Schizosaccharomyces pombe: one gene and its partners. The protein of the gene in region 1 purifies or fractionates together with the protein of each later gene. This does not show direct contact. Each region holds a gene or a part of one and is shown on either strand. Other genes may lie near its edges. The genes, in order: rmp1, pop100, pop23 and rpp21.

Region 1 (7,835 bases):
TAGCTAACTTTAGTTAGATATCCCTCTTAAATAGGAACTTACTGGTATATTCATGAGTCGAAATTCGAAGTATGCCGGCAAAGCCAACTGAATTGAAGTGTAGCAGAGGAATCTTGTGCGATCGAAGGTACTCTTCTAAGCGAAAAAGAGGTTTTTCCTTTAAGTTTGAGGATAAGACTACAGAAAATTTTGAAAAATACTCAATGTTTTTATCTATTAAAGCTTCGGGGCTCTACAAACGTTAGAGTATATCGTCCAAACAGCCATACCATCTCTAAATATTCCATTTCGACGTTTGGATTAAGTTGTTGCAACAAAGATGCCGTACAGCGAGCTCTGGATTTTCCTTCTTGGTCGTACTGGATAAAAAAGTTCATTCCATCCATACTGAAATCGACAGAAGTATCATCAACGACAGCAAAAGAGCCAATCCCTATTACGTCTATTTAGTATAATTTCTTTAAAATATCCAATACCTGGCAAAATTAAATTTTTTAAAGCTTCACACCCTACAGTATTTGCATACAAAAGACACACATGCGACTTCTCAATTGCGTTCTGTCCTTCAGCTTTCCAAAGCCGTACTTGTCTATGATTAATAGTAAAGGATTTAATGAGTTTCATACCTATCGTATTTTTGCATTTTCGCAGAAGTTCCCATACTAGTTCAAAAGTATGACAAAACAGCTGGAAGTCGTTACGTGTAAATTACAGGTATGTATGTAGGAAGGAAGAAGGATGTTAATAAGACAGCTTGAACAAAATCTCTACGAAAATATATCAAATGAAATAAAAATAAATTTGGCTTGTAACAATAAAAATGGTAATTAAAGGGAACCGACGATATGACTAGGCCGGCTAAGTTTGATATTCTAAAATTGTGAAGCAAAATGAAACTACTTCCATTAGGGAAATATGGGCTTCTTGAAAACAACTGTTAAACTTCTGTACCTAATCAGCTTTTTTTGAGTATATGGCAATAGTATAGAGTCGGCGTGATAGTGACTCAAATACTCATGAAGAAAGACAAACCAACAATCAAAAAAGTAGAAAAGTCAAATTTTTTTTGGTAATAAGATAAATACTAATTAATTGTTAAGTCTCTAAATTTTTTGCAGAAAAAGGAATGGTAGAAACCAATTGACTACATGTGTAAACTGAATGACAGGCTGACAGGCAAAGATAATCAAACATATATTGTAAGATTGAGAGGATACGTTTTTATCGCGGATGTCTATTAAATAAAGTAATTATTAAAGCGGAAACAAAAGAAGAACGAGAATTCGGCAGTAAAATAGAATATCAAAGGAGTGGCCGAAACGAAAACTTATTAAACGTGGGTCAATCTATGACGAGCTTCTTGAAGAACTCTATGCCAATCAGTATTAAATAGAACAGTGAACTGACAAGTAATTGCGGTGACACTAGACAAAATCATTCCACACCAAATCCCCTTTAGACCGGTATTGAAATATACAACAACAAAAACGGTGACTGGTAAAGCAAACAAGTAGCTTGATCCGATACTAATTAAACCTCCAATATACTGTTTACCAGTGCCACGAAGAAGTCCACCTCCTACAGCATTTAATCCGTCAGTGACAATAAACAAGGACAAGATAGGGAAGATGTCCTTAACGACTGCAAGGACTTCGGGATCACTGGTAAACAAGCTTCCCCAAACGTCTCTAAAACAGAAAATTAAAGACCCATCAAAAATGGATATGCACAAAGCTAGCGAATATGCTACTCGAGAGCAAAGACGAGCTAAGTTGGCTCTTCCTGAACCAATTAAGTGACCCACGCGTGTTGACGAGGCAACAGCAAAAGCGAAGGGAATTTGAAAAAGCAAAGAAGTAGAAGTGAGCAAAATTGACTGGGATGCAAGGGGTGCAGTACCCAAATAACCAGCACCAAGACTAGTCATTTCATAGGCAGCCCACTCAGTAACGATCATCAGCATTCCATGGAAAGAGAAATGTAACATGGGAGATAGATTTTTCAAAGCCTGCCTAGAGAAACCAGGCCACGGGATAGGGGTGGAGGAGAAACAAATATACAATATTAAACAAATGCTTTGAAACCAAAAAGTAGTAGCAACGGCGACTGGAGCACCGAGAAAGCCAAATCCAATTGTGGGATGCCATACAAGAAGGTAATTTAAAAGAATATTGAGAGGAGCAGCAAAGCATAATACATAAGTGATAGGGGTAAATATGCCTTGAGCTTGCAAGTAACGCTTCAATGCCTCAAAAACGGCATATCCAGGTCTAAAAGAATACAGTTAGTGAAAGGAGGAGAGAGAACGGACAAATTTTAATAAAGTACTTACGCAGCCAAGATAAACACTCTCATATAACGACCACACAAATGAGCAACCATAGGATCTTGGTGAAGAAAGATTAGAATATGTTCAAGATTAAGCCAAATCAAAGCTACAGGTATGTGTAAAACAGCCAAAATAAGCAGACATCTTTGTAGGTAGATGGCTACATTGTAGGGTTTATTAGCGCCAAAGGCTTGAGTGGCTAAGGTATCTAAGGAGGAGATAACACCTTGGAAAATGGAGAAAGCACTGATTGCAGCAGTCATGGTGGAAAGGGACGAAGCTGCCAAGTATTCCTTTCCCAAGTGTCCCAATGTAAAGACTGTAGAAAATTGTTCCGAGGATTGTAACAAATAAGCGATGACGGTGGGAGATCCAAGACGCAAAAGTTCTGACAACTCGTGCTTTATAACAGGGTATCCCGATGCGTTATCTGCGAAGCTCTCGCCAGGTGTATGAACATGATGCTGCTGTAACTGCTGAGCTACAGGAATCATAGAACCGTAGACGGCTGGAATATTAGGCTCCACATACTCATTGCTATCCTGGAAGTACCCATTCTCTTCTGCTAGTAATCTTTGTTCCTCTTCAGAATAATCACTGTCGGGAGAAGGAACTCTTCCAGAGGTCGGGGATTTGGAGAAGAGTTTGGAGAAAAAACGCTTCATAATTTGAGAATTAACCTTGTCTTCACTATTAATTTTTTAAAAGCAAAATATTTCAAATTCTCTATATTCGCCTTTCTAATATCTTTTCTTTTTTGTGTTATACTTAGGATGAAGCTTCCAATAATTACAATTAACAAAGTCTTTAACTATATAAGGGGAAGAGAAGTCAAGTTTGATAGTGTGTACAAGACAATGGTAAACGGTAAGCCGTGGAACGGTGCGAGGTTTTTAATCAGCTCAATCGTCCCCCCTAGTACCGACTTGATATGCAAGAGATAATCGGTACCGTACATAGATTAAATACAAGGGAGAACCAATCAAAAATCAAAAGCTCTCAACTGAGCCAATGATATATCATTAAGATAAAATTAATTTTTAAATCGCACTAAGCGGACAAATAGCGTTTAGACTTTTTATCAGTTTCGCTATTGAAAATTTAGTACCGACAATCAGCAAATTTTACAAATTTCTTTTCATGGCAAACTGCTGGCTTAATTGACAAAAAGGAGGATATTTGACAGGAAAATTAACGCAGTTTATGTCTTGAACTGCGGAATCGATACGCCGTGAAAAAGAAGCCAGAAACAGCCGACGGTAGTGGTGCTTTTTGAAGGATTCTTAAAGTGAAAATTATCTGCTACACGAGTATATTATGGCGGTATCGAATGGCAGGTACCAAATGCTACAAAATCTTAAAACAGGCATATTAAAAAATGGGAAACAAAAAAGGACACAATAAATCATGTAGGATTCTAAAGGATGCATCGACCAGTAGCGGATTTTATTGCTAAGTATTAGAACTCTTTGTATTTCTTTTCATTGATTTGTACCTTTTGTTTTTGTTTTTGTCTATGAGCTCTCCATATGTTTCTACTTCGTTCCGCGGAATGCCCGGATCGACTGTTACTTCTTCCACTCCCGTAAACCAGGTGTCGTTTATTATCTTGATTTACTCGCTAATATATTTTCGTTAAGATTACTTATCGAGAGAAATTGAAAATGATAAAAATCGTTAAAGTCAAATACGAACAGTTCATTTTTAACGTCCAAATTTTGATTTAACGAGAACTTGAGCAACACTTTATTTCTTTTCATCCATCAATGTATTTAATGGATACTGTTCATACATACATACTTTCTTCGTTCGTGTTCGTGTTCACATTGCTCACTCGTTGGGTGGTTTGTACGACCTATTTGTCTAGTCCAACGATATGCAGGAATTGCAATACGATGTAGTTTTATTGCAAAAAATCGTGTATAGGAATAGAAATCAGCATCGACTAAGTGTTTGGTGGAGACACGTACGAATGCTGCTTCGAAGACTAAAGCAGTCGCTAGATGGAAATGAAAAAGCGAAAATTGCTATTTTAGAACAATTGCCGAAATCGTACTTTTATTTTACAAACTTAATTGCCCATGGTCAGTATCCAGCCTTAGGGTTAGTTTTGCTGGGTATCTTAGCTCGCGTTTGGTTTGTTATGGGCGGAATAGAGTACGAAGCAAAAATACAATCGGAAATAGTCTTTAGTCAAAAGGAGCAAAAAAAATTGGAATTACAGTCTCAAGATGACATAGACACTGGGACTGTTGTAGCTCGCGATGAATTGCTAGCTACGGAACCTATTTCATTGTCTATAAATCCTGCTTCTACTAGTTATGAGAAACTGACTGTATCCTCTCCTAATTCTTTTCTCAAGAATCAAGATGAATCTCTCTTCTTGTCTTCTTCTCCTATAACTGTTTCTCAAGGTACCAAACGTAAATCCAAAAACTCAAATTCCACAGTCAAGAAAAAAAAGAAACGTGCAAGAAAGGGACGAGACGAAATTGATGATATATTCGGATAAATAAACCTCAATTAGTCTTTCCATTTTCAATTGATTTTTTCTTTTCTTTACTTTTGCTTTTTGTTTCATCTATTTCTGACACCAGTCTCGCAAAATCTCTCTATTTTTATTAAGAACATTACGCTATGATACGAAAACGCTGTCATTCATCATAACACCATTTGGGTCTTTGAGTCTCTACTGCATTTCATCCAGCATCAAGGCATCCTGTTGTATAGAATCAAACATATTTTTTTTCTTTGTTTGTACATATCTTTTATTTATCTGTGCATTTGAAGTGCTCGCGGGCTTTAATTTATTCTTTTCGTTACTTGTCAAGTTTGAATATGCAGCGATTCTAAGCCATCCCCATAACGTATTTATTCTTTTCAACCTATTCTGAGCTTCTAATTCTATTAAACCTTCAATTTATTAATATTGGGTTTTCTGTTCTACTGAAACACTTTTCAACACTATCACTGCATATATTCTGGTTATTTGTTTTTTATGCGCACATCGTGAACAAATTAAATATTCATTTTATTTTTCAACGGTTTTCTTATTAGAACAAGTGAATTTTGCTCACCATATCACCTTTCTTGTTTTTTCGCTTCTTTTGTTTTATCGTTTTGCTGCCGAGGTGAATTACATCTGTTTGCAATCATGGGAAGGAAATGTCGCAAGCTTCTCTTAAAGGGAATACCTATATGCGGCGTTATTTTGTTGATCCTCTGGGGCTATTCCCTTTATAACACATTGAGATTTATGGTACCAGGGAAAGCGACTGAACCTTTTACCTTAAGTTTATCGGATGTATCAGATGATACTAGTGCTCCAGGAGAAATGGAAAAAATACCAAGAGTGATTCACCAGCTTTGGAAGGATGAAAATATTCCAGAGAGATGGTCTAATACTGTTAACTCTTGCAGGCGCCAACATCCTGATGAAAACGGCTGGCAGTTCATTTTATGGACAGATGAAAAAATTATGTCTTTTATGAACGAAAATTATTCCTGGTTTATGCCTGTTTTCCACAGCTATCCTTATAATATCCAGAAATTTGATGCTGCACGTTACTTTATTCTCTATCATTACGGCGGCGTATACATGGATTTGGATATTGGGTGTAAAAAACCCATGGATCCTCTTCTAAGCAAAGCTACTTTTATATTGCCTTCGACGGAACCCATTGGGTATAGCAATGATTGGTTTGCTGCTACACCAAAGCATCCATTTCTGTATCAGGCGATACATAACTTGTCAAAGTTTAACCACCGTTATTTCACTAAATATCCCACGGTGTTTCTCAGTGCAGGACCTTTATTCCTATCTTATCAATTTTGTAAATACTTACTTACGCCGCATGAACCAGTGCGCGTCTTACCTGCTTTACTTTATGGAAACGGACCTAATTCATTTTTTTCACATGTTACTGGTGATAGCTGGCATGGCACTGATGCTAAAGTATTTATTTGGATAGACCGAAATTCAAAATCTGTCTTATTTTTTGCTTTTTTGGCTGCGTTCGCTATCCTTTTCTTATGTCTAAGAGTTGTCTTTAAACGGAGAAGGAAACGTGGAATTGCGGCTTCTCACTCACAAATACAGGAGCTATATCCCTAGTCCCTTCGTTTCTATAGATGGGCTAAATGGGTGATTTGGCTATTGAAGAAATTCAAAGGTAAAAGAAGTGTATATTATAGTTTCATTTGATGACAACTTGAAAAAAAAAAATGATGCCAAAGTCATCGTCTCTGTGTTTGTTTAACGAAAACGGTTTTTTTTAAAGGGCTATAAATTACATTTACTTCTAAATGATACATCAATATCTACAAATATATATCCTTCATTGAACTCTGGCTCTTCTTTTCAACATTAGCATAAGAACTTATTATGTATACACGTGTTTGTATTTTTTAACGATAATTTGTATTTTATGCAAATTACTTTAACCAATCTTGTACCATAATCGTATATCGTATTGAAGGGCTAGAAATCGTCTCTAATCATCTAAAGCAGAAACATATAAGACTGTTGGACGGTAGTTAGGAAATCAAAGCACTTTAATATAAATACCATACCATTGTTTCCACGAATAAATGCATCTCCATAAACATTCGTCTTCTTGCCATTAACGTATTCTTCTGTGCGTTCAAGGGCCAAGTTCATATAACCATCAAGACAACTGAGGATTCCTAAAAAACAGGTTTAGTATTAACAAACCCTAAATAACGGAAAAAAAGTTAAAGCGATAGAAACAAATTGCAAACTTGCATTGTCTCCGACGCAATTCATGTTAAATACCTTTATAGTCGACACCAGAACTTAACCGGATAAGAACTTTTTTGCCGATGACCTTATTCAAAAACTCATTAGGAGAAGAATCCATTATCTTCCAGTTGGTTTAGAGAATTCAGCCTTTGAAGGGTTTTCTGTGAGTCGTAAATTGAAGTAGACACCAACTACATTGGTAACCTCAGTTCAGGGTGCTCTTGCATATAATGAAGAATAGCATTATGTGCAAAAATGTATACCGTGCAAGACTACACTACTTTAATATACACTTCGTTGCGTATCACTATATGTGATATGTTGGAATATCAGTTGAGATCTGGTTATTAATAATTATGGGTAACTATCCGCTAACTAAATAAATTTTATTAAAAACACCCTTTAGAACAATTATAAATAGAGGTACAGCTGAATCTCGTTCCTCAGTTTAGTTAAAGCTATATTAATGATAGGTAACAATAGATCGTACATAAAATATTATATATGTCCTCGGTTGCTACTTGTATTACCTGCTTTTTGCAATATTGCAATATAATAGATCATAAAGCTCATTGCAGTTCTACACATCGTTAAAATTAAATAACAAACTGCGTAGTTAGTATTTATGTGTGTTAAAGTATTGTGACACGTTCTGCTAACACTTTCAAGTTTACTACTTGCATTGAACATTGCTTGTCTTCTCTAAATTATTTGTACATAATAATCCATCCGAGCTTTGTGCTT
Region 2 (9,858 bases), 270 kb from region 1:
TAAACCCATTTAATGAATCGCTGAATATTGCCTAATACTAAGCTTGTGATCGGGCGGTTTCACTGTAAGGTGATTGGAACGTGGCATGGACTATGATAGTGAAACCCTGGCCTATCGTAAGTGGGGGGAGTGGGGGACTCCCCGATGCATTGATAAGTGTGACCCAAAAAAACAAGCGCTAATTCAATGCGCTAAAATACGATAAAGGTGCATAGTGACACGCGTTAGATCATGGTATATGAGTAGCAATATTGTAGCAGAGGAATAATAGGGTTGGTAGTAAACGAGTATATACAGTGTTTATAAACCGAAAGTCGAATAGTAGGAAAAATAGCAGTGATGAGAGTCGAAAGACGAACATCAATAATTTTTGTTTCTGTTTGACTTTTGATCGTTGTTTATGGACTTTTCCGTTTTTCAGTCAGCAGTGGTAATTTGTGTTTACACTCGTATGCCTTGTATGCCCAGAACTAAAGCTCATCTAAGCAATCCCTACTATAGAAGAGAAAAATAAATAAATAAAATAAATAATAATAAAAAAAAAATCTACCTTACTTCATTCAAATTTATTTCATTGGGTTTTATTTTCTTTTTAGTAATCACTTTAACTCACCGCTATTTTGGAAATTGTAGATTTTTTATTGAATATCGCCGATTTTTAGTGTTTTACAAACTGTAAGCCCAATGTCGCTTGAACCCAGTTTTACAGTCTGGATGAATTGATTTTCTTTGTATTACAAAGACTTTTCTATTAAATTTTCATTTTCTCAATTGTATCAAAGACATGACAGCAAAAATCAACTCGACACTATGAAATATACTATATAACAATTGCCTGTTTTATAGATGCCAAACTGATTTTATAAAAAAGAATGTAAAAGAAAATAAATGAACTAAAAAAAATTTAGTTTTCTACAAAAAAGCAAAAAGCCTACAGCACCCCGGATTCCCATGTTGTCTCCAACCATAGTACTAACGAGGCCCTCAGACGCTTAACTGCAGTGATCGGACGGGAACTGGTGTTTTCGCCTAGGTATGGCCGTAGACATTTGCTTCATTAATTTAAACTATATATACTGTAATTAAAGAATGTAATTTATCATGTTTGTTCTAGCTCATTGTAAACAAATACCACTTAAAAGTTCACATTATATTATTTAACATTGAATAATACATTCTCCCTTTGCATTCATTTAACACAAACTTGGCTTTTGTCAAATCAAAACCCCATGTACATTCAACGATCCTTAAAACTGCTACAATGTATAGCACTTGCGCGCTCATAATCTAATATTAAATATACAATTTTGTTGCTTTCTTAATGCAATATGAATGTTTTAAGGGATTGTACGTGAAGAGCTTTAATAAAAGAATTGTTAATAGGGATGCACTAATTGGTGAGTTATAAAATGTAATGATTTTAAAATCATTTATATAAGAAGGAAAACTACCTTCATTTTTTTTCTTTACTAATTTATTTTTCTTTTTTTTTAATGTCATTTTGTTAAATGTCATTATTTTTTCTTCAAAATAATTCTCATTTCCTGGATTATGTCAATTTAATTCTATATATTTTATAAGTTAAATTTCTTTGTTCTTGTAAATAACCATTCTGTTTTCTTTCCTAGATTTTAATTTTAATTTTTTTTTTTAAACTGGCGATTTAATTATCTTCAATTTTATATAGTTATATACAACTTGTCCGACTTTGCTTTCTATACATTTCTTTGTTATTGTAACTCATTAAGAAAATATTTAATTTACATATTATCAAACAGTTAAAAATATTGCATAATTTTTCGTTTCGTTGCAAATAGATTTGCAATCTTCATTTTTTCCTATCCATTACATCTTCAAACCTACCAATCTCTAATTTTGATCTAATTACAAATCTCGTCTAAAATACTATTCCAGTTCGAAACTCTGAAATGCTACAGTGATTAAATTATAAAAGCTGCTGTGTATTTCGACGCTTTGACATACGTGGACGAGTCTAAGCGTAACTGAATTTCTATGCTTGGTTCATGTTATCAATAAGGCCCTAAGAAACTGTTGAAACTACAGTTTTTTTAGTTCCATGAATTTTTTTTGCTGCCATGGACGATGAAGAAGGCAATGCGACACTCATCGATGAAATTTCCGTCCTTGAAGCCAGAAGGGATGTATTGCTTGATGAATTAAAGTCTTTAGATAATGCGACACTGTCCGATCTCGTTCAGAAGCCCGAGTTGTCCAAAAATTTATCTGTAAACAATGAATTTCTGAAAGAGACTCCGTTAAATCAACCTGCACTGCATTATGATCGACTTTCTGGTATTTCCTTTTTCCAACCCAATGATCCTGAGGAGTTATCTAGAAAGACCCTTCTCGTAAAAAATAAAAAGACAGGAGCCATTGAGACTGCTCCTTCTATACCGCTTCTTGGTGTCCGGTTCGATATCATGTTGAATCCAGTAAATATAGGCTTTACGAATCTCTCAGAGAATCCAATATCTTCCGCCTCTGGCATGGACGAAGAACTAGAAGGTGGAAATAGATTTGATGTTCCCTATTATATAATTTTTCGAGTATTTCACGACTCGTTTGCTTTATATAAATATACGATTCCAAGCTTTCTGAACATACAAGAATGGGCTGACGAGTATTTGACTGGAAAGAACCCTGAAAGGTTTAGAATATTTTTGTGGAAAGTAGATAAATTATTGACCGCATATATCTGTCGTAAAAACGCACTTTTACAAATCAATAAGTCTTTGACAATTGATGGGACAAACATATCTGCCAATCTTTCTTGTACACATCTTGTCATTCAAATTCCGAAAGTCATTCAAGCTACCCTTGTTTGCTCTTCAGAATCCACTAGAGTGGTCAAATCAAGGATATATCAGTATTCTGATGAAAACTGGAAAAGAGATCACAGACTTGAACTATCTTTATTAGACAACAAACGTTGGGTTAATATACTTGTATCACACCTAACTGCTCCAGAAAGTCATGCTTCGTTATGATTGTTTATTACCATACTCTTATTATTATTAGACAGGGACTATCTTTTTATACAAAAAACTTTATACTTGTTAGTTATTTACGATTGCACCAAATAATCGTCCATATTCCTTAATTTCCGCCTTGGTTTCATCCTTTTCTCTACCTGTCTCTCCAGTTGCTCTTTCAGTCTAGCCATTCGATTTCCATTTTCAGTAAAATACTCAACGCTTCTCTTGAAAAGGAAGCACATGTATTCACGAGTAATGTAAAACTGAAGCTTTTCGGATGCTGTAAGACATCCTATAGGAATATCCATTCGTAAACTTGTTCTAATAGCCACAATAAACTTCTGCTCACTACCTTGAATTCCTGTTTCCCGAAAACCGCAGCTTGCTGCTACTCTTTGCAAATGCTGAGCATTCGCTAAACTTCTCGTTTGAACATGCAGAATCATGGGTTCAAAAGCGTATTGTATTTCCCGATTTCCTTCTACCGGAGAACTGGGAACCTTTCCGTATTCCACTTTTTCATCTTCTAAAACCGGTGGTAGTTCTTCATGTGCCTGATGACTAACGAAAAGCCAGTATCCACCTCCTTTTCTGGAATTTGCTCCTTGTACATAGACTGAAATTCTTCCTGAACATGAACTAGTTGTTACCCAATCCGGGTGGGAGTTTATAACATCTAGCAATGGAAATATTGGGCTATCTGGGTGTCCTTTGGGTGATGCATCAGGTACGGAGGATTTCAAGCCTTCTAAGATTTCTTTTTTTTGAGCATCAAATGATACATCTATTCCTTTTATATTCATTCAAATTGTTCTTCAAGGAACTCCTTGCAACGACTTAATTCAACTCGTTGGTGGATTCTTACAACTTTTCAACTTGCGTTGTCAACTTGCCAAATCAAGCACCTACATTTTTTTTTCTAAATTCAAAACAATATTTGCAGATTCGTTTGCTCAAACCTAATAAATAAAAGAAATCAAATAGAAAAAATCATTTTTATGGTATTTTCGTACGCGCTTGAGTAATTTATCAATCCATGCAACAAACAAGTTCCACTGTATAATATTAACTTCCTAATTAAGGCTGCTACAAAAACCGTCCCCCACTTTATCTAATTTTATGAAATGAAGCGTTCAACTGGAGGAACGCAACCAAAGGGACTAAACGTCAAAAGGTCAAAGCTCGCTGATGCTAGATTCATAGAGGTTGAATCACCTGCCCTTTCAAATGGTGCTGTAGACTTAAAAAAATTCATTGAATCAAGGAGTTTTGAAATAACGGCTTTACAAGATGCTATGAAAAGATCAAAAGAATCCAGCGCTCAGCGTGCTTTCCAAGCTCTTCCTCGATGTTTACGAAGAAGAGCAGCTTCTCATAATATAAAAAGGATACCTAAAGGTTTAAGGGATAGAGCTTTATATGAAATGCAACTCAGTTCCTCATCTACTTTGCCCATTGCACCTTCCAGACAACGGTTAAAGAGATTCATCAAACGCTTGCGAAGAAAGTTAGCTAAATCAGGTGAAACCAAAGCAATTGACAGTACGGGAAGCTTGGTTACAGACAATTCTACAGATGATTCGCGAATTCCGTCCTTGGCTGCCGTCAAGTTAATACGTGGAAAATTTGCTGGTCGTCAACTTCGGAAGGTATGGCTTCCCACTCATTTATGGGTATGCAAACGCGCACACATGATAAATGCTTGGGGATATGCCATTCCCGAAAAACCGACTGAGAAATCCTATCGTCCTACCCATCGAGCAGCTTTTCGGAAAGATGCAATTGCATTCGACATGTCTTATGAACCATTGTTTTGCATTAGCGGGCCATACGAAGCTCTCAAAGAAAAGTTTGGAAATTCTTTTGCAAACGGACTGCCTCCTGTATTTCTGAATTCTTCTAGATCATTTACATCTTACCTCGTGAAGTCTGACATACACGAGCTCATATGCCCTTGTTTTCTACAATGGAATAACCCTACAGAAGATGACAAAAAACAGATCCCTGTAAAAAATCCTACCGAATGTGTGCAGTTAGTTATACGTTTACATCCATCTGCATTTCTACAAGCATGGAATTACTTATCTGGTATAGCTGTTTTGGATGATCGCATTGCTATGCACGATTGGCGACTAGATCTAGCATCTTTTGATATTCACGGACCCGATAGCAACATTATGCTCCACAAAGTATTTGACGACGTTGAATTAGATGAAGCAGGAAAAGTTTGGCAGTCGATTTCCAATTATTCAAGCGCATGCTTACCCATGGGCGCCTCGATATCTGTGAAAGCATTAGTTAATACTCGTTGCGATAAAAATTTATCCGAAAAGGGAGAAAAAAGCTTATTAGATTCTGCTGAAAACAGTTTACCAGCATCTGCAAACCAATATAGCACTCATTTTAGGTATTGGGAGAGACAGGAAATACCCTCTTTTGCAGTTTTTGAGAATAAAAATAGACATACTCATGAGAAAAAATCTTCTGAAAAAGAAGTTATACCCGTGTATATTACGTATAGAAAAGAATGGAACGGACTCACTGTTATTTTGCCTTGGGATTATGCCAAGTTTGTATGGAGGAAGATGATGTATCAAAAAGGAATACGTTTTGGCGGATTAGAAAATTTGCACCAAATTGCGTTTGAAAAAAGAATGCCTTTCTTTCCGATTGATTATCCAGATACGATTAGTGGGCAACTTTGCGAAGAGGAAAGAAAAAAACGAAATGAAGATAGCTGGAAAAGACGTCCACCTGCCAAACGCGTAAATTATCAAAAATTCGGAGATAATTTTTCAGAAATAGGTAACCCGTTTTGTTGTGATTGGGTTTATCTAAACGAGATGGTTAAGGCTTCACGAGATGAAGATAAAACTCTGCAGCTAGTACGTGTTCAAGTACAGTTGGTGCAAAGAGGTAGCCTGCAAGATCGGGCTCGAATTTATTGTCTTAGTGACGATGAACTTAGTAAATGGAAGACCATCATTTATAAAGAAAATCTCACTGCTGAAAATTTGCTTTACCCAAAGTGTCCAAACGAGACGGCTATTATAGGATTCGTCACGACCGGAAATTTCAATTTGAATGCAGGCAAACCTTCTGGTATAGCCAATGTTCTAGCCAAAACGATTAAAAATGAGAAATCCGGATACTGTATTATTCGCAACGTAGGTTGTAGCGTCCCACGATTAGCACAATGGAAGTTTAATCAGTCTCATTAAAAAGATTTGAGGACTGCATTCCAATTTTGCCATGTGTATAAAAAAAGTGTTACTTTTATATATGACTGATAATTAAAACTCCTTTATATCTGTTGGCATCTTCTTGGATGCAACTAACTAAAAATTGGTGAAATTGAAATGCTTTCAAATAGAATAATTGCTAAATGACGCTTAAATATAATTACTGATCAGTCAACTGAAAGTTATAAACCGATCACCAAATTTTCCGTTTTGCCGTAGATAATACTGAATTCAAGGGTGCTTTTTCAAATTCATTTATTCATGCCGTTATTCTTTAGAACATATTTATGGGAATGTATTACGATATAAAGTATATTGCTTTGTTTACACATATAATACGCAACGAATGCATGACTTTGTGGGACCTAATGGCACATTCAAGTCACACCTATATGCTCGAGAGAAGAAGAAAATGTTTAATTTAGAGGTTTTGAATGAACTAGTTTCGAAAAAGCCTAATAACATATTCAAAATACAAACTATTAACTGCTTGTTGCATCAGGTTACCTTAAAACTCATTATCTGACATAATGCACTGTTAGCATTTAAATTATTGTGAGTCTTTTACAGTATCCTCCTAGACAACTGTTTATACTATTGCAAACGCGTGAGGAAATATTTTCACGAGTATTTGAGGTTTGAAGGGGATAAGTTTTTGGATTTCCTTTGGTTCATCATTTTACAAAAGATGGAGGGAGTAATACTTGCTTCGTCAGCTTTATTTACAGTTTATATAGGGGCGAAATGGTCTGCCCAAGAAGAAGAACCTGAAGAAAAACAACTTATTAATAAGCGCTTAGCTGTGCTGTTTCCTATTTTTGGAGGAGTTACGCTTGTTCTGATGTATTTGGCACTTCGATATCTGAGTAAAGAATATATTCAGCTGATACTACAGGGCTACGCAAGCTTAGCATCCATAATATGTTTTGTACGTAGCTTTAATCCAAAAACGACATTTGGAAAAATTACCGCAACCATGAGTTCAATTGCCATTGCATTATTCTACTTTAAAACTAAACATTGGATGGCATCCAATATTTTGGCATGGGCATTAGCTGCTAATTCCATTAGTATTATGAGAATTGATTCGTATAATACTGGTGCGCTTCTCCTTGGTGCCCTTTTCTTCTACGATATCTATTTTGTATTTGGTACCGAAGTCATGGTGACGGTAGCTACTGGAATTGACATTCCAGCTAAGTATGTACTTCCTCAATTCAAAAACCCTACAAGGCTTTCGATGCTTGGTTTGGGTGACATTGTCATGCCTGGATTGATGCTTGCGTTAATGTATCGATTCGATCTTCACTACTATATTAATTCTACCTCCCAGCCTAAGAAGCACTCGACATATTTTCGGAATACCTTTATAGCTTATGGGCTTGGCCTTGGAGTTACAAATTTTGCATTATATTACTTTAAAGCAGCACAGCCAGCTTTGCTTTATCTCAGTCCTGCCTGTATTGTCGCTCCATTACTAACTGCTTGGTATCGTGACGAATTGAAAACACTCTTCTCCTTTCGTAGTGAAACAGAAGATGAAACTGACGAACAAGATAAATGTAAAAGTACTTAAAATTGGTCCTTGATTTAGAATTTCAACATTCGTTTGTTAAAACCCATTCCTTACTTCACGCTCATCCGTTATTCGCCATACCGTATTTCCATAGTTTGCCATGTATATACGTTATACATATACCATGATATTCCACTTACCTCAATTCAATTTTTTACAAGAAATTTGCAAAAACCTTTATTTTGAAAGTTTATTTTAGAATAAAAAGTATTTGATTACAAAATTTAAATTACTCCAAATCACTACTAAAGAGTTGAGCATAGTGCATTTATACCACTTTGTTCCTTCGGCAATTATTTGACTCTGGTGTCTAAAATTTGAAATAATAAATAATTTTGATTATTAGTGAATTTCAGCTGTGTTTCTCCTAAAATGTTTGGTCTGACCACGAAAAGAATATTGACACTGTTTACCAAAAAGCGACAGACGCTAGTTGAGCAAAAATTAACAGAGTATATGATTGCAGGTGAAAAAACGGATAATCAAATGCTTCATTTTAAATTACAGGTCGAAACAGCTACCCCAACCCTTGACCAATTGAATATCATGCTCTCTAACATTGGTAAAGATAAAAGTGATTTACTTGTCGCAGGTGCTACGTCTATTGAAGATGCTTTGACAAAGTACCAGCATGATAATCAATTGTTTCGACGACCTTGCCTTGTGGATTGGGATAAGGGAAAAGTTAGTCCATATTCCATCCTTCTCCAAACTCGCGACTTTTCTAAACTTTTATAAAAATATCTCTTATTCCAACGACCGATTTTTACGTATCATTTTAGTTTATGAGCATCCTTTCAACTGATGTTGAAATGCGATGCATTTCAAGTTACGAATAATAAAAAATTTTGTTATTATTATATCTGCATATTCAATAGTTACTGTAATAGGATTCATCAGAAATTCCTTTTTATCCACTTAATATGTCGTTCGTTGCCAGATCTTTCGAATGGACTTAATTGATTGATATCTTGAGTTCGCTAGTAAACACATATTTGTACGATAGAAAACTTTTTAAGGGTAATAAATTAGCTAACAATGAAAGAACATTTCGGAAGTAGAAAGCTCAAAATAGATTCTTCGAATCATAATAAAATGAGACTTTAAGCATATGTTAAAGCTAGGTAGGTTAAACGGAAATGAGAAACGTGACACGCAAACTGTAATCAAAAAAATTATTTTAAACTAAACTCTAGTAAACGCGCGATAACAAAACGTAAAAGAAAAGGAACGGAAGGTAATGCTATATATTCTTTAAGGGTGCGGGCAGCCAACTGCTATGTGGTTTTATTCAATAAATTTTTATATATCATGAAATTAATATCGTCAGAAGTTGTAGTAGTCGCAATAAATGGCTTTCAAGTAACGGCTAATAATTGCTATCAGACAGGTTAAAATTGGCTACAAACCATGAATGCGTTGATGTCGCCGCATATTACTGCGTACATTGAACGCCTTTCCACATCCAGCGTAATCGCAGACAAACGGCCTTTCTCCTGTATGGGAATATGTATGAATTTTTAGACTAGAAGGCCTAGAAAATCCTTGTAAACATTCCGTACATCTATATCGAACGTTGGCAGCGGAAGAGGTAGACGAAGAACCGGTATGGGATTGTGCAATTTTGCGTGAAGTTGAATGTCGCCGCGATACATGAGCTCTCTTATCGTTGTTGTGATGATCAGAATAATTTGAATCAGATTGCTGACCCATTGGATGAGCCTGCGCGCTGTTGCTAGCCAAAGTAGCAACAACACTAAGTTCCGCGCTCATGTTATCCTTGAAATTTAAAGAAGGAATATATGGATTTCTGGATAAAGTGTGATTGTTTTCAGCGTCATTAGGAAGCGGAACCGAGACTGGATAAGAGGTGTTTGCCGGGCCTTGAGAATCATTTGATTGCGAGGTTGAGCTTTCGGAAGCGTTTTCGGCTTGATTACCATTTGCATGATTTAAAGTATTACTTGCAGGAGGAGCAACCGATGAAAGACGTGATTCATCGACTGTGGGATGATTTTGAAGATCTCGGGAGCTGGGTTGATAC
Region 3 (8,091 bases), on another chromosome or scaffold:
AGATTGGGATGATCATTGAGTAATTTTGCAAGCATGGTCAATGACACAAATTTACTTGTATCGTCCTGGGCATGCAGCAAAGAAAAACAGTTTTCCAACAACTCCATAGAACCTCTCGACTCGCCGGAAGCATTTGAATCCTCGTCCTTATCAGTAACAAAATGAACCTCCGTTACATGGTCCTCACTCAGCTTTTCAGACGCATACGAGTCATCTTCGGAGAGAAGCTGCTCATACGATATAGTGCGCACGCCTTTGGGACCCTTGTGAAGATGAAAGTGTGGAATATGCATTAAGGTGAATTGAATTGTACCTCAATAACCTATTATTTATGAAAAAAAAACTTAAAACCGAGCTCTTCTCACTGCAGTCTACGACACTAAGTAAACTTTGACAAACGAAAAGAGGAATGCACCAAAAGTCTAACAATTTTCAAATCCAACAAATTTTCGTTCAACAATCCGAAATCTCCAAACTTCTCACCTTTTTCCTCAAATTCCACTCAAATCTGCCAGAAAAAAAATGTTTCTACTTCAAATTACACCAATTTTTCTTGATTAATTAAATAAATATCGAATTTGTAGTCCTCTACGACTTTTTACTCTTTCAAGCTAGGTGTTCCGCTTATGCTGAGGCAAAAAGGCATGCCTTGAGTTTTGTCTCCAATTGACGAATAAGGTATGCCCTATCTTCTGGTACTTTGGAAAGTGCCCCCACTTGGGATAAAAAGGTAGAATGCCCCCATTTCCTTTCCTATCGAAGGCCTTAGTGGTGGTTGACATAGCAACATAGCAAATGTGCTTTATTTACATAATAGATGGCAAACGACTCTAGCTACTACGTGACTCTAAACAAAGCAAATAAACAAGCTTCAAATTGCAGAGATTGAACGTGTTTTGCTTGTAATTTATAGTTGAGGATTTTTTCTGTCTTAGTGAATCCATTTTTTGAAGAAGCGTTGTGGTAAAAAAAATGTCTAATACTGGGTTACCCAAACCATGGATTGTCAAGATTTCACGCTCCAGAAATCGTCCCTACTTCTTTAATACTGAGACGCATGAGTCTTTATGGGAGCCTCCGGCTGCCACTGATATGGCTGCCCTGAAAAAGTTCATTGCAAACGAGTTGCAGGAGTCAGTTACACCCACCGAGGCAAGCAATTCACCCAAGATTCGTGCTAGCCATTTACTCGTAAAGCATCGAGAAAGCCGTCGTCCCAGCTCATGGAAGGAGGAGCACATTACTAGGAGCAAGGAGGAGGCGAGGAAGCTGGCTGAACACTATGAACAATTGCTAAAGAGTGGCTCTGTAAGCATGCATGATTTAGCCATGAAAGAGTCGGATTGTAGCTCCGCTCGTCGCGGAGGTGAATTGTATGTATTTTGATATACTGTAATTAAATACGAGTCGCAAGACCGACAGTATATGGTGGTGCCACACTTGGTGATAAGCTCTTGTTGGTTTGCCAAGTGTAGTCTGATTTTCAACTGGAACGATTTTTACTAACACTATGTGTAGAGGCGAATTTGGAAGAGACGAAATGCAAAAACCGTTTGAAGACGCTGCGTTTGCCTTGAAACCCGGTGAAATTAGTGGAGTGGTTGAAACGAGCAGTGGGTTTCACATCATTCAAAGACACGCTTAATTCATTTGCAAAACAATTACCTAATAATATTAATGAGTATGCTTTATTTCTTATTTTCACTTACTCCCTTTCCGTATGCTTGAAAAAGCAAACAAAATGTTTGTCTTGTTTTGTCACAAATTTATCTCTTCTGATGATTTTTTACATTTTGTTGACCATTTTCCCAAAGGAGAATATTCACAATTGTCGCTTTGTATGTCCCTTATTTCTGACGTTCACCCGTTTATAATACATTTTAACTTAGTATTTAAGTGTTTGCCCATTCATGAACACGAGCCAGCTTACTACCTAGGTTGAAAACAAAATGATTTGATTTCGCTTTGCTATTGATTGAAAAAGCTTTGATGAAAAATGATAAAGTAACTGATTGATGTTTCGAGATTTCTGTTCACTTTAAAAATTTTCACAGATTTTCTACTTTACATGAATGTTAACTTTATTAGAAAAAGTAATTACAAATTTATCTTTTGCATATTTCATTTGAGGTTTTATGGTTGTAGTCATTTTTTTATGCTATATTTATTTATTTGTTTATTTTTCTTTATACCTACACAAGTCTTTTTTCGTTTTTTTTCTCTAACCAACCCCATGCACTGATTTACAATAAAACAATTAATATCCGGCAAAGTGAAAATGCAGCATCCCATTTTTTACGCTATAGAGGTGAGTAGAATTCTTCAGCATTTGGAACCCATTTAATAAATTTATTTGAACCGACTTCGTACTAAATTCTATCTTTCTGTATTTTATAAAGCGAATCCATATATCAGCTAGTAAAGGAATATTTGATAATTTATAGGAATCCAAATGTGTTTACACAGTAGGGGCCTGAATTATGAAAAAAAGTGTTCTTTTTTAAAAAAAATAGTAATGATAATAATTTAAATTAGGGATTATTTTAAGTAACGTTAAATCTCATCTTGAACATTTAGTATTGTAAAATGAGTTGTATTAAAATAACAATTGTATAGCTATCAGAGTTTATTATTAAACTTCGTTAATACAATTAAATCTTTCAAAATAAAAGAAATATTTTTTTTTAATAAGCTTAAGAATCTATTATTGGGATAGTTTGCCGGTCGAAGCAATGATACTTTAGTCAATGTAAAAAAGAAGTCAAACAGTTAAAAACCTTTAAATTTGAAAGTTAATTTCAATCAATTGTTGATGTGCCAAAAATAATAAAAATAAATAGAAAAATAGCTAAGGTACTGTTGACTACTGAAGGAATTTTTTTTGAAACAAATATGGCATTCGATTCAAAACTATATGTTCAATTTAAATCGAAGGTTTTAGAGGTTATACTATCAATACACCTTTGTTTGTCATAGCTCTATTTAATATTACCTTAGCCAGATAAGTCAGTCATATAACTTTTGAGCATTGAAAAGAAGTTCATTCTGGATCAAGATAATGAGTAATCATTGAATTTACGCCTTGGATGAGTAATTCACTTTAATGAAGCGATACATTCCTCAATAGCAAAGATAAACGGAGGTCATGCATTGAAAGAATCTTTTTCATTCTTAATATACCGAATTGCCAGGCTCTTAGTCTCTGATTAATACTATTCTATTCTATTCTATTCAATTTTCAATTTTTATGTTTGTAAGAGAAAGTATAAACTGCATGACAATGAGCATGCTTCGATTCATTTGCAATGTAACTGGAATCCCACTGCATACCAAAACTAAATAGAGTATCTTACTCAATGACTTACTCTTCATGCTAGTTAGATCAATTTAAATATCCTGAGAAGAAGAAATTGATGAAATTATTTATCCTTTTTAATATCTCTCAATTTTTTTCATAAAAGCCCAATTACCATCCATGGCTTCTGCTACACTCCCAATGGATTATAAGACGCCTTTCGGATATGCTTATAAACTATACGTGGAAGGAAAAGATGAACATTCATTATATATACTTGATAATTATTTAAAGAATGCTAATTGTAGTGAAAACACTTACGAACAAGCGTTAATATTGTGCCTGACAATTATGTGTGAACAAAGGCGTTCTTGGACAGAAATGGAGGAAAAATTGTTACACAACTATCAAGGGAAAATACCGGATTCAATCGTGGTAAATTGGTATGTAGTATTTTAAATTTTGATCAGAAGTTTTAACGTGACCAGGATAATTACTTATTTAGAGAATAGTGAATTTACAAAAGAGAACTACGCGCAAATGATAAATTCTTTGTATCGCTACCAAGACGCCATTTTGAAAAGTGAATTGAAAGATTCAATTCTCCCCAAACTTGTCAATTGTGCTTGTAGCGTGCAGCTTACTGAGCCATTGAAAGCCATATTGGCTAATTCTCGTGGGGAACTTGAAAATGTATGCATGTTTGTAACAACATTTACGTTTGATCCTTGTCGCTAACTGTTTAGTCATTACTGCTTCGGATTCAAGCACAAGAGGAAGAGTTAAAAATGAACCTTGAGCGTTCAAAAACTCCTGATCCCTCGGAAGATGAAGGAGAATTTGCCTTGACCCTAAAATTGCAATTTTCAAAAGTCTCTCGTTTAATAAACCAAGGTTTAACTCCACTCCTCTCGCGTTTACAGTTAATTGACAAAAATATAAAAATTGTAGGAGCAATCTTTGGCATTATTCTTTTACTCTTTAGGTTAAAAAAATACATCTCGCATTCGAAAAAATCTGCCTTTTCTCCGCAAAGATGGAAATTTCTACTTGACCAATTTTTACTTGCTATTTCCTGATGTAAGTATAAGAAGGCATGCATCATATCCATGTATTTTTACTATTTTCTATTTAATCTAGAAAGTTAAAAGATTGTGATGAAGTTGATTGATTCTAACGTATTTCCTTGTTTAACTTTTTCGAGTTCTTTCCCTCCTAAACTTCATTTTTACTACTTCAAAAACTTTTTTTACTTCATTTTTGAAGGTTCTAAACTTTTATGAATTTCATCTTCTACTATTTTAGAACTGTTAATTTATGCTAGTCATTAGAAAATTGAGAAAATCCTCGCTTGATATTTGCATGTAACATGATAGAATTAATTGAAATTGAAACGACAGCTTCTTTAACTCTTTTTTACGTTTGTTATTATCTTTCAATTTCTGATATTTTTATTTCTCTATAATAGTGTAAAATAACGTATCACTGCATACAGAATTGTATGAACTTTGCATTTCATAAATCAAATAGTGAAATATAGCGTTTTACTATTTTACCTAAAAGAAGTCCTGAAAGGAGGACTAGATATTTGAGCTATGAAGAAAAAGCAAACGAAAGTAAAACAAACAGTTAAGCTTGTCCTTCGAAATCCTTTATCTATCTCTTGGTATGTAATCTATTGCTTGTATTTTCACACCTATTTTCGTACTGACTAACCATACCGTTAGGCCTATCGTTGATGCAAATACACAAGAGAAATTAGCTCAAACACTTGTGCAATGGCTTCCTGCCTCTCATAAAGACATATTAGACTCGAAGTTGACCGTTGGATTGAATTCTGTCAATGAATTGCTAGAGAGATGTTGCCAAAATGCGAAAGACGTTACGCAACCTGCGGTCGTATTCATCCTTCATGACCAGGATTCCATGCTAGTTACACACATGCCCCAGCTTGTTGCAAATGCTAACTTTTATGGCTCCTCCAAATGTCGACTAGTTCCACTTGGATTTTCTGCACAAGCGCTAATCGCCAAGAAATTGGGTTTGAGCAGGGCGGGTGCGATTGCCGTACAGGTAAGGTTACTGGTCAATTTTAGACTAAGTAGAATGATATTGACTATATTTTAGGATGATTCTCCTCTATGGAAATATTTAAAAGATTTAGTGATGAATATAGAAGAGCCTCAAGCACGCTGGCTTTCCGAAAATCCTGAGTATGAGGTGACCAAGGTTGAAAAAATCATTACAAGTCAAAAGGAAAATCAAGGAACAAAAAAAGAGGGTAAAAACGAAAAGGGAAACGAGTTTAAAAAATGAAAAAATTTTAAGATGGCAGATTTCTTGTAGTTGTATATGTAAATATATATGTTTGCGTGTGTGTATGTGTAAATGTGTAAGGTATGAAAGATTGTGTGTAGATTGAGAAAGTATGAAAAGAAACATCGATAAATTGAGTTTTAAGCAGGCTGGGCAATATCTATTTTTCGCCAAGAATATCACGACGAGACGAGGGCTCTAAAAAGTCAAACGATGTCAACAAAGCTAAGTCTTGAAATAATTGAAATTGTTTTTGAAGGATGAAAAATGATTGAAAACTGAGACATTAATAAAATGTGAGATAGAAATGAAAGGTGTGGTTTAACTTACGATTCTGATGAAATGAAGCAATCAAACATTGGAGTTCGAAGAAAAGAATGTGCAAATTGGTCAATGCCTTTTTGCGCACATGACCATTCAACCGGTTCATGATCAAATCGGGAACATTTTTTGTTGAAAGCTTGAAAGATAGGTTGATTGAGAAGTAAAAACTCAGCAGGCGCTCTAGGTATTCGAATGCGATACGAATTATTAAATGTATTTAGCAAAACTTGCGCATTCCATCCAGTGCGTGTAAGATGAATAAGGATGCCAACCATTTTGCGAATTTGATGCTTCATAAACGACTGGCCGTGAAAGATTAGCTTAACCCATTGGCGATTTAACTTGTCAATGTGAAGGTTATCCACACGCACATCTAATAAAAACCTTCGAGAACTGGCGTCCGAAAAACCCTTCTCCGTTGTATAACTGTGAAATCGATGGGTGCCCCGAAACATCGTACACGCATGCTTTAGAAAGTCGAGTTTAGGTTTGGATAAACGAAAGGGCTCGGACAAGGAATTCGCAACACAGTCTTGTTTGCTTAAGTTAGCTAAATGGGAAAGTGTTTCATTAATGGGGAATGCTTTTTCAGATGCCTTGGCAATTACATAGGCCTCGAGAGTGCAAGGACGGGGAGTAAGTAGAGAGGAGACAGGCAACCAATACTCATATACGCGACTGTCGCACACAGTGTGTGGAGAAAACGAATTAAACGTCCTCGCCATTTTCCATACACGAATACAAGGTGGTAAAATATCGTTGACCAAATTCACCACATGAGGTAGAGGTTGATTGTCCAACACTTTCAAACCAAGAACATTAACAATGGCATGTACACCCTTGTCTGTTCTAGCAGCAGAACACATTCGGATCTTCTTGGGAGAGTCAGCATTCACCTGAACAACGGCGCCTACTCGAGCGAATGCTTGGAACAGTGTATCTTGTATGGTTTTGACATTGGCATTGTACTGCAAACCAGCAAAGCCAGTACCACGATAGCTGACAACACAGTAGACCATTCGTTTCCGGGGTTTCACCGAAATCGAAGAAAAGAAAACCCGATGTCGTTGGAGCAAGCAAAGCACAGATTGGTTGGCAGAGAACCTTGAAGGTCTTAAGAGACTATGCATAGTTTGAAAGATGAAATTAACTAAGCAAGTTTTTAATGAAAGAGAGGAAAGGTACTACAGATGGCATGTGCTCAAGCAAAAGTTAGGATATTAAAAAAATATTAAACTAAGGGTAGAAGCACTTCAACTGTTTTTCATGAACAATATAGAATATTACTATAATTTTTTGGAAAGAGCCCTAGCTTCCATGAATAGTCTTACCCACAATACCCTGTTGTTTATCTATTTTCTTTTACTAAACCAAGCTGTACATACTAGATACCACAAAGAAATACCTTGTATCTCCTTTCTACCCCTTTGAATGGACAATGAAGCCGAAAATTTGCCGTTTTTAGAAGGTCCTTTTTTTTCAACTTTTATCGAAAATTAATTTTTTTTCAGTCGTTTCAAAGGTCAACCTACAAAACTAATTCTTTTCGTTAGCAACCGCTTTCTTATCAATCTTTGCTTCTTTATTTACTGTTCTCTGCTAAATTTTCGTTGATTTATTTAAAATACCTTCTAAACCATACTTTTTCTTACTACCCGGGTTTTGACAAATTTTTTTCTATGCAGCTCTATCCGGCAAATGTTAAGGGATTGAGATATAGTGAATGTTGCATCTTAACCGCTAACCCATCGGTTCAACATTTTGTCATGCATGATGATGCTGGTGTTCCTCTAACGTACAGCGTTTCCACACTGCACGCCGAACTTACCGACCACCTATACCTCCCAACCACCAGGAAAACAGTCGCAGTAGGCAAGAAAACGCTTTTTGTAGTGCAAAAAAAAAGATTTAAGCCGGAAACATAGCAGAATAGCAGAAATTTGATATTTACTGTTATCATCTCCATTATTATTTGGATTAGTTTTCGATTGTCCTTTCATTCATCTAATAACGCTTGTTTTTCTTTTTTCTTTTTTGCATTCTCAGTCTTGGTTGTTTTGCTATTTATTGCGTTCCTCGGTTTCTCCCTATTAAATATTTTCTTTTCATTGTTTTTACGGAAATTCTCATTTTTTCATCTTAGGGGCTCGTTGACT
Region 4 (6,151 bases), on another chromosome or scaffold:
TCTTTTGCAACGATTTGTATGCTGTTGTCAATTTGGGAGGCAATGAGTTGTCCGCTCCGCTGTCTTGATGAATTTGATGTGTTTATGGACGCTGTTAATAGACTAGTCAGTATTAAAATGATGGTAGATTCTGCAAAGGATTCTTCAGATAAGCAATTTATTTTTATTACACCTCAGGACATGGGTCAAATTGGTTTGGACAAAGACGTTGTTGTTTTTCGTCTTAGCGATCCTGTCGTTTCCTCTTCAGCACTTCCTCCCTCTACGGCGCCATGACATTTCTACTATTTTGATAGTCTATTGTATAGGTATTTAGAATTTATTTATTAGATATATAGCAAGTTCATTTGTATATTAAATTTGACTACGAATACGCATTTGTCGGCCATATCGTATACTTAGCAGAAAGCGAGAAATCTTAGTGTATTTGTTGTTACCGAAAGTCATGCTACTTATCGGTAGAATAAGGATGGATCGAATATTCAATTAGCAGAGTATATGGTAGGGTAGGGTTGTGTGACTGGTCTTAGTAGAACAACATAACCGAAAAACTGACATTCCTAGTGTCAACTCACCGCAGGACATCAAAATGCCAACTCACGTATCTAAGACTCGTAAGCTTCGTGGACACGTTTCAGCTGGTCACGGTCGTATTGGCAAGCACAGGAAGCATCCCGGTGGTCGTGGTAAGGCTGGTGGTTTACAACACCTCCGTAGTCACTTCGATAAGTACCATCCTGGTTACTTTGGTAAGGTCGGTATGCGCCGTTTCCACCTCATGAAGAATCCCTTATGGCGTCCCACTGTCAACTTGGACCGTCTCTGGACTTTACTCCCCAACGAGGCTCGTGACAAGTATTTGGGCAAGAACACTGAGGTTGCTCCCGTCATCAATGTCCTTCAATCCGGTTATGGCAAAGTTTTGGGTAAGGGACGTCTTCCTGAGACCCCTGTCATTGTTCAAACTCGCTACGTTTCTCGCAGAGCTGAGGAAAAGATTAAGCAAGCCGGCGGTGTTGTTGAGCTCATTGCATAAACAAATAACAATAAAAAGTACATTGAGCGGTTAATTATTGTAGGGGCGTCTTTTGATTTTGAAAGTAATGTATGTAGTTTTGTTGAAATCCATTGATGCACTTGAATAGAGTTTATTCAAGCTTCTATCATGTTTTTTGATAAACATTCTATAGCGTAGCGATTTATAAGTATATTGACATGTTTACCCTGTAACCTACTTATTGAATTTTCCTCAATTGACCAAACTTGTTTGCAAAAGCAATATATTAGTTTTTGTTGGGACTGGGTGAATTTAATTTTGAGTAGTGATATTATTGTCAAAGTTGAATATCAAGAAAGTCTGTTATAAAGTCTTTAAAAAGGTCATTATTCAATGTAATTTGTTGATGTGCCATATGTTGTTGATAAATAGGTAAAGATAGCATAACTACTACTTTTTACTACTACGAAGAAGCTATTCAGCTATATCTACGTAAAATCGTCATGGTAAAGAATAATTAAATAGTTTTTAATAGAGGAGAATTTTCGTTAGAGCATTGGTGTTTTTTTTTTGGAATCATTCTTTAATTTCAGAGAGAATTGGCGTCTGTAACACTTTCATCTACACTTGACCAAATATTTTAGTTTCCTGGGCTAACAAGACTTCCAAAGATGGATCAAGAACGTAAACTGCAATTTTTGTTATCAATAGCGGCAGAGACATACGCGATTAGTCCATCATTGTCAAGCCACTACTTGAGGAGGATGTTCTCTCTTTTGGAGGAATGGAATTTGGAAACAGATCCAAAGACACTTTTGCACGGGTGTTCCAAATGTGGATCTTTGTTTATATTTGGCCGTAATATAAAACTTCGTACAATTAGTTCAGAGAGGAAGGCACGGACAGATTTGAAGAAAGGAGAGGTCTCAAGGTTGGGCACAAATTTAGAAATTAACTGCTTAGTCTGCTCTTATGTTCATGAAATTCCTTTAGGGGTACCTCTTCGCTTGCACCAAAGCAAACAAGCGTTACGTGCTAAAGCTATTGCTGAATCTTCATCTACGAAACTCGAAAGTCGAAAATCTGCCCATAATGCCAAAGTAAAACAAAGACAACGTTTGAGAGCCTCCGGACTTAATGGAATTTTGGATAGGAAGAAAAAAAAAGATGAGGTTGCAAAAAGCACATCTTCATTAAGTTTACAAGACTTTATGTCACCGATATGAGTGATTCTGATTGATCTATCAATTTTCTATCTAGTTGTCATATTCTTATACACATATTTTCCCTCTAAAATGAGGATTGAAACTTTTCTGACATTTATTACAGCCTTCAGCGCCGTGTACTTCTTCCTCTTTTAGTTCAGCTCATTTGTCTTAATGTAGTTTTGATTTAAAATTTGAACTTCCCGTTTTAGATTTGATCGTTACCTTTTCCCGTTGTTTACTTTTATTTACATTTGTATTAGAACTATTCGTTTGGGTTGGACGAGTTTAGACAAGGGGCCCCTTCTTCTATTTGTATTTACTTTTAACTTATTTATTTACTATTTCTTTGATTTGTCACTTGTATGGTGCGAAATATATACGGAAATGTCAATCACAGAATAGCAAACAAATCGTCAACTTGCGGTTATTGTGCGTAGCATATTTTCAGTAGTTTTCTTTTGACAACGCCCTTATGAGCATATTTTTAAGTTTCCGATTAATCGTTCATTCCTTTACAAGAGAGGTCTCTCACTGTCTACCACCTGAAGTTGAGCTTGTGTCAATTACCAACTCCAGTTTTGCATTCTGAGGATGAGTAATAGAATTGGGCCTCAGAGATCCACAAAAACTGCAGCGAAGCTTCGGCTTCTTCCTTCTACAGAAGAATTTGATGATTTTAGAAGGCAGGATACGGGGCGCGAAGTGTACTCCCAAATTCCTCAAATAGAAGGGTCAACGGCAAAACGAGACGCAGAGCATCTTGGAAAACGGCATCGAGAATTCTTACCAAGAGTAACTGCCTATTGTACATGCGATACATTTAGAGTCGACTTGCTGTTTAAGTTTTTTCAATCTCGAAGAAGTAGTCATAAAACAAGACCTAAACAATTTGACGAATGGTTAGTTAATATTTTTGCATTTTTCTCATTCTATTGATCCTTATTGATATTTACTTGAAGAGGTTTATCTAACATTATAACAGTATTTATAGTCCGTATAGCTACAATAATGAAGAGACGACAGACTTACTTCCTGACACATTGGAGTCCTCCCGTGGAACGTTAAATCGAGAATCTTCTCAAGAAAGTCTACAAAGTATTTTTGAAGAATCCGGGTTGGACAGGAATCAACCCTTGTTTCGGGAAGTGTTTTGCTTTACTTATGGCGTTGTTGTTTTATGGGGATACACAATTGATGAAGAGCATCGTTTCTTAAGAGAACTCGGTCGCTTTGAAATTGAAAAATTAAGTATGCAAATTACTTTGGGTGACAGTCATTATCATATTGTTGTATCTTTAAGCAGTTATTAACATTTGTAATTTTTAGAGATCGAAGATATGGAGGTAGAAGAGTTTAACTACTATATAACGACTCTTTATCAACCAAGGGTATGAACATTTTTATTGATAAAAATTTTTGTCTTTAGCTCTTTTTCCTCATGGTGAAGCTAGTCGACTAACAGATATAGATATTCAACGACTTTATAGCACTTCGGGATGCATCCAACTACATGATTCGTCTTTCAATTTCACATGCTATTGCTCAATCAGTCAAAATATCACTATTTGAAGAGCTGGTCAACGAAACAATAGATGCTACTAAAGATACACCCCAAATGATTGCCGAGACTGGCAGAGTGAATTTGAAAAGAGAGGAAATTATGATGGCCGTAGGCCAGTTGTTTATTTTAAGAATTAACATTAATTTACAAGGAAGCGTTTTGGATAGTCCTGAGCTGATGTGGACGGAGCCGCAGTTAGAACCTATATATACAGCAGCACGGTCTTACTTGGAAATTAACCAAAGAGTTGCTTTACTAAATCAAAGAGTGGAGGTAATTGGAGACCTACTTTCAATGTTGAAAGAACAGATAACACATACACATGATGAATCTCTAGAATGGATTGTGGTAATCCTTATGGGGCTGTTGGTGCTGATAGCCTTATTCAGTATAGTGGTACGTTTGGCCGATGGTTTCAAATTGAATGACTTCCGTTTAGTAATCAACAATTCCAACAAATTTATTTTACTGTTTGCTAACACATTATTCTACATAGGTGGATTGGAAGCTGTTTCAATAACAACCGAAGAATCTTTCCTCTTTTTACATTATGTTTACATAATTGAAGAAATGGGAAAGGGCAAAAAAATTAAACCATATTTATCGAGTTGATTACGCATATGTTTCGGCTTTTTCCTTTAGTTTTTTTTTAGTTTCGGTTAGTTCATGATTTATTGACATTACACGGTAGTCTTCTATAATAATCCTACTTAATAGAAGATAAAGCTCTTTTTTTCTCTTCTTTGAAGATTCCTAGTTGATTTCCCACATAAAAGAACGTTGAAATGGGTTACACAAAAAAGGACAACAACAGCCATAGTACGTAGATATTGTATTGATTTCGGCACAAAGTATGACTTTTCAAAAAATTACATAAGGTTTTTTTTCTTCGGTTGCAGAGTCCAATTTTTACCATCAATCATTACATACTTCATATACTTAGTCAAAAAAAAGCATGTTAACGATTATAGATCAATGGCCGGCAAAGTGATTTTAAAACGAATGAAGACTTAAAAATAAAAACATCAAGCGCCTGCCTAAAACAAGTATTATGTCTCACCAGCTTCCTTTTCTTTATTTAACCCTTTTTTCTCGAGCACTTTAGATAGCAATTGCGCTTCATGGCGATACCGCTGAATGTCTCTTTCAACGTTGTAAATTTTCACAGCATACATTTCGCATTCCTTTTCAATTTCCGAGACTTTTCTTCGAATCCTTGCGGTTTTACGCCGATACACGTCCTCTATACGTCGAGTTCATTAGCAAAAAGTCGTCAGACAAAAATCGGTACACACCTTCAGTTTCTTGAAGCAAATTTACCACCTACGCGGTCAATAAATAATTACAAATAGGTAATAAACCTCCTACCTGTGGATCCATTCCCGAAAGCTTCACGTTCTCAGTTTCTGGTGAAGAATGCAAAGCTAGTTTGCTTAAAATCTGTATTGTATTTAACGAAAAACTGCTTACTTCGTTATAGAAGATTGCCTACTACATTACGCAACCAAGGGTTTATAACGATACGAACCGAAACCGTTATCTAGTTTTCTTACCCATCAGCTGGGTATTGCTAGTGAAAAACAAATGTCTAATATAAAGCTAATCCTTTTTTGGCTGACTTCTCTTATCCATTCATATTACATTTTTGCTTCTTTTGGGTAGAAAAAGAATGGATCATGTCTCACATTTACAATACGAAAGTCAAATTTCAATAAACAAAGGTACATCATACATGTGAACAAATATTTCAAAAACGATTTATGATCATTTCATAACAAAGAATCATGAATTTACTTCGGATAAGTTCAAAAATGATATTGTCAGCCACTGATTCAGAGTAAATCTGTCATTCGTTTTATAAATGCACTGTCATAAACGAATACTTCCAGCAGAACCAGGCTCCGGTTGCACAGAAAATTTCAAGTAATAAAGCAGTGTCTCATTGGCAAAATAATTTTCAGAAGGGAAAAAGCGAAATAAAACAGAAAGAACCTTCTGAAAGAAAATTGAAACCAAATAATGTTCAACAACGAAATAAAAACAAACAGAAATGATAAAAAGATAATAAAAAATACAAGGGTTTCACCTTGCTTCTAGCATTGAATTGAAACAATACAGACATTTATGAGTGGGCTGAAATTAAATAAAGAGGGGCGAGGAGGAAAATTAGAAAAAAGAGAAGGGGTCAAAGAGGTTTTAGACGTATATTTTTTGGTAATATAAACCAGTCTAAGATAGAGGAGTTAATATTTCATGAACAAAAGCACATAGAAATTGTTTAAAAACAACGGCAATAATAAGAACCCGGATACACAATCCAAGTATTAAATTAAAGATCCCTTCAAGTACCCAAGAAATTAAGTTATTAATCAAATAAAATAATAA

Evidence for each region.
Region 2: the proteins of rmp1 (region 1) and pop100 purify together in Schizosaccharomyces pombe (affinity purification with mass spectrometry, with the first as the bait; one study listed by BioGRID). This does not show direct contact.
Region 3: the proteins of rmp1 (region 1) and pop23 purify together in Schizosaccharomyces pombe (affinity purification with mass spectrometry, with the first as the bait; one study listed by BioGRID). This does not show direct contact.
Region 4: the proteins of rmp1 (region 1) and rpp21 purify together in Schizosaccharomyces pombe (affinity purification with mass spectrometry, with the first as the bait; one study listed by BioGRID). This does not show direct contact.

Annotation. Positions count from the first base shown.
Region 1 is NC_003424.3:3,916,871-3,924,705, forward strand, and holds rmp1 (ribonuclease MRP complex subunit), read left to right. Parts: upstream 1-4,136; 5' UTR 4,137-4,205; coding exon 4,206-4,841; downstream 4,842-7,835. Other genes in the region: NEDD8-activating enzyme uba5, read right to left, coding at 1-3, 43-232, 270-433, 477-589, 627-661; SPOM_SPAC323.07C (MatE family transporter), read right to left, coding at 1,331-2,270, 2,333-2,994; inositol phosphorylceramide mannosyltransferase activity Imt1, read left to right, coding at 5,484-6,443; U6 snRNP-associated protein Lsm6, read right to left, coding at 6,823-6,851, 6,902-7,015, 7,125-7,209.
Region 2 is NC_003424.3:4,183,427-4,193,284, forward strand, and holds pop100 (Rnase P/MRP subunit), read left to right. Parts: upstream 1-3,887; 5' UTR 3,888-4,120; coding exon 4,121-6,217; 3' UTR 6,218-6,433; downstream 6,434-9,858. Other genes in the region: kinetochore protein mal2, read left to right, coding at 2,097-3,008; wybutosine biosynthesis protein Tyw3, read right to left, coding at 3,086-3,799; intramembrane aspartyl protease of the perinuclear ER membrane Ypf1, read left to right, coding at 6,927-7,814; SPOM_SPAC25B8.18 (electron carrier protein), read left to right, coding at 8,187-8,552; loz1 (zf-C2H2 type transcription factor), read right to left, coding at 9,216-9,858.
Region 3 is NC_003421.2:663,696-671,786, forward strand, and holds pop23 (Rnase P/MRP subunit), read left to right. Parts: upstream 1-4,885; 5' UTR 4,886-4,890; coding exon 4,891-4,961; exon of another isoform or gene 4,962-5,022; coding exon 5,023-5,368; exon of another isoform or gene 5,369-5,422; coding exon 5,423-5,611; 3' UTR 5,612-5,672; downstream 5,673-8,091. Other genes in the region: protein asi1, read right to left, coding at 1-293; peptidyl-prolyl cis-trans isomerase Pin1, read left to right, coding at 973-1,373, 1,519-1,645; SPOM_SPCC16C4.04 (uncharacterized protein), read left to right, coding at 3,476-3,738, 3,784-3,988, 4,042-4,374; pus3 (tRNA pseudouridine synthase), read right to left, coding at 5,772-5,889, 5,942-7,065; SPOM_SPCC16C4.21 (uncharacterized protein), read left to right, coding at 7,615-7,860.
Region 4 is NC_003421.2:656,036-662,186, forward strand, and holds rpp21 (RNase MRP subunit), read left to right. Parts: upstream 1-1,668; coding exon 1,669-2,223; 3' UTR 2,224-2,783; downstream 2,784-6,151. Other genes in the region: Smc5-6 complex SMC P-loop ATPase subunit Smc6, read left to right, coding at 1-276; rpl2802 (60S ribosomal protein uL15), read left to right, coding at 590-1,036; sif2 (Sad1-interacting factor 2), read left to right, coding at 2,797-3,104, 3,188-3,453, 3,532-3,593, 3,674-4,162, 4,263-4,286; hap2 (Ino80 complex subunit), read right to left, coding at 4,816-5,009, 5,062-5,089, 5,135-5,146.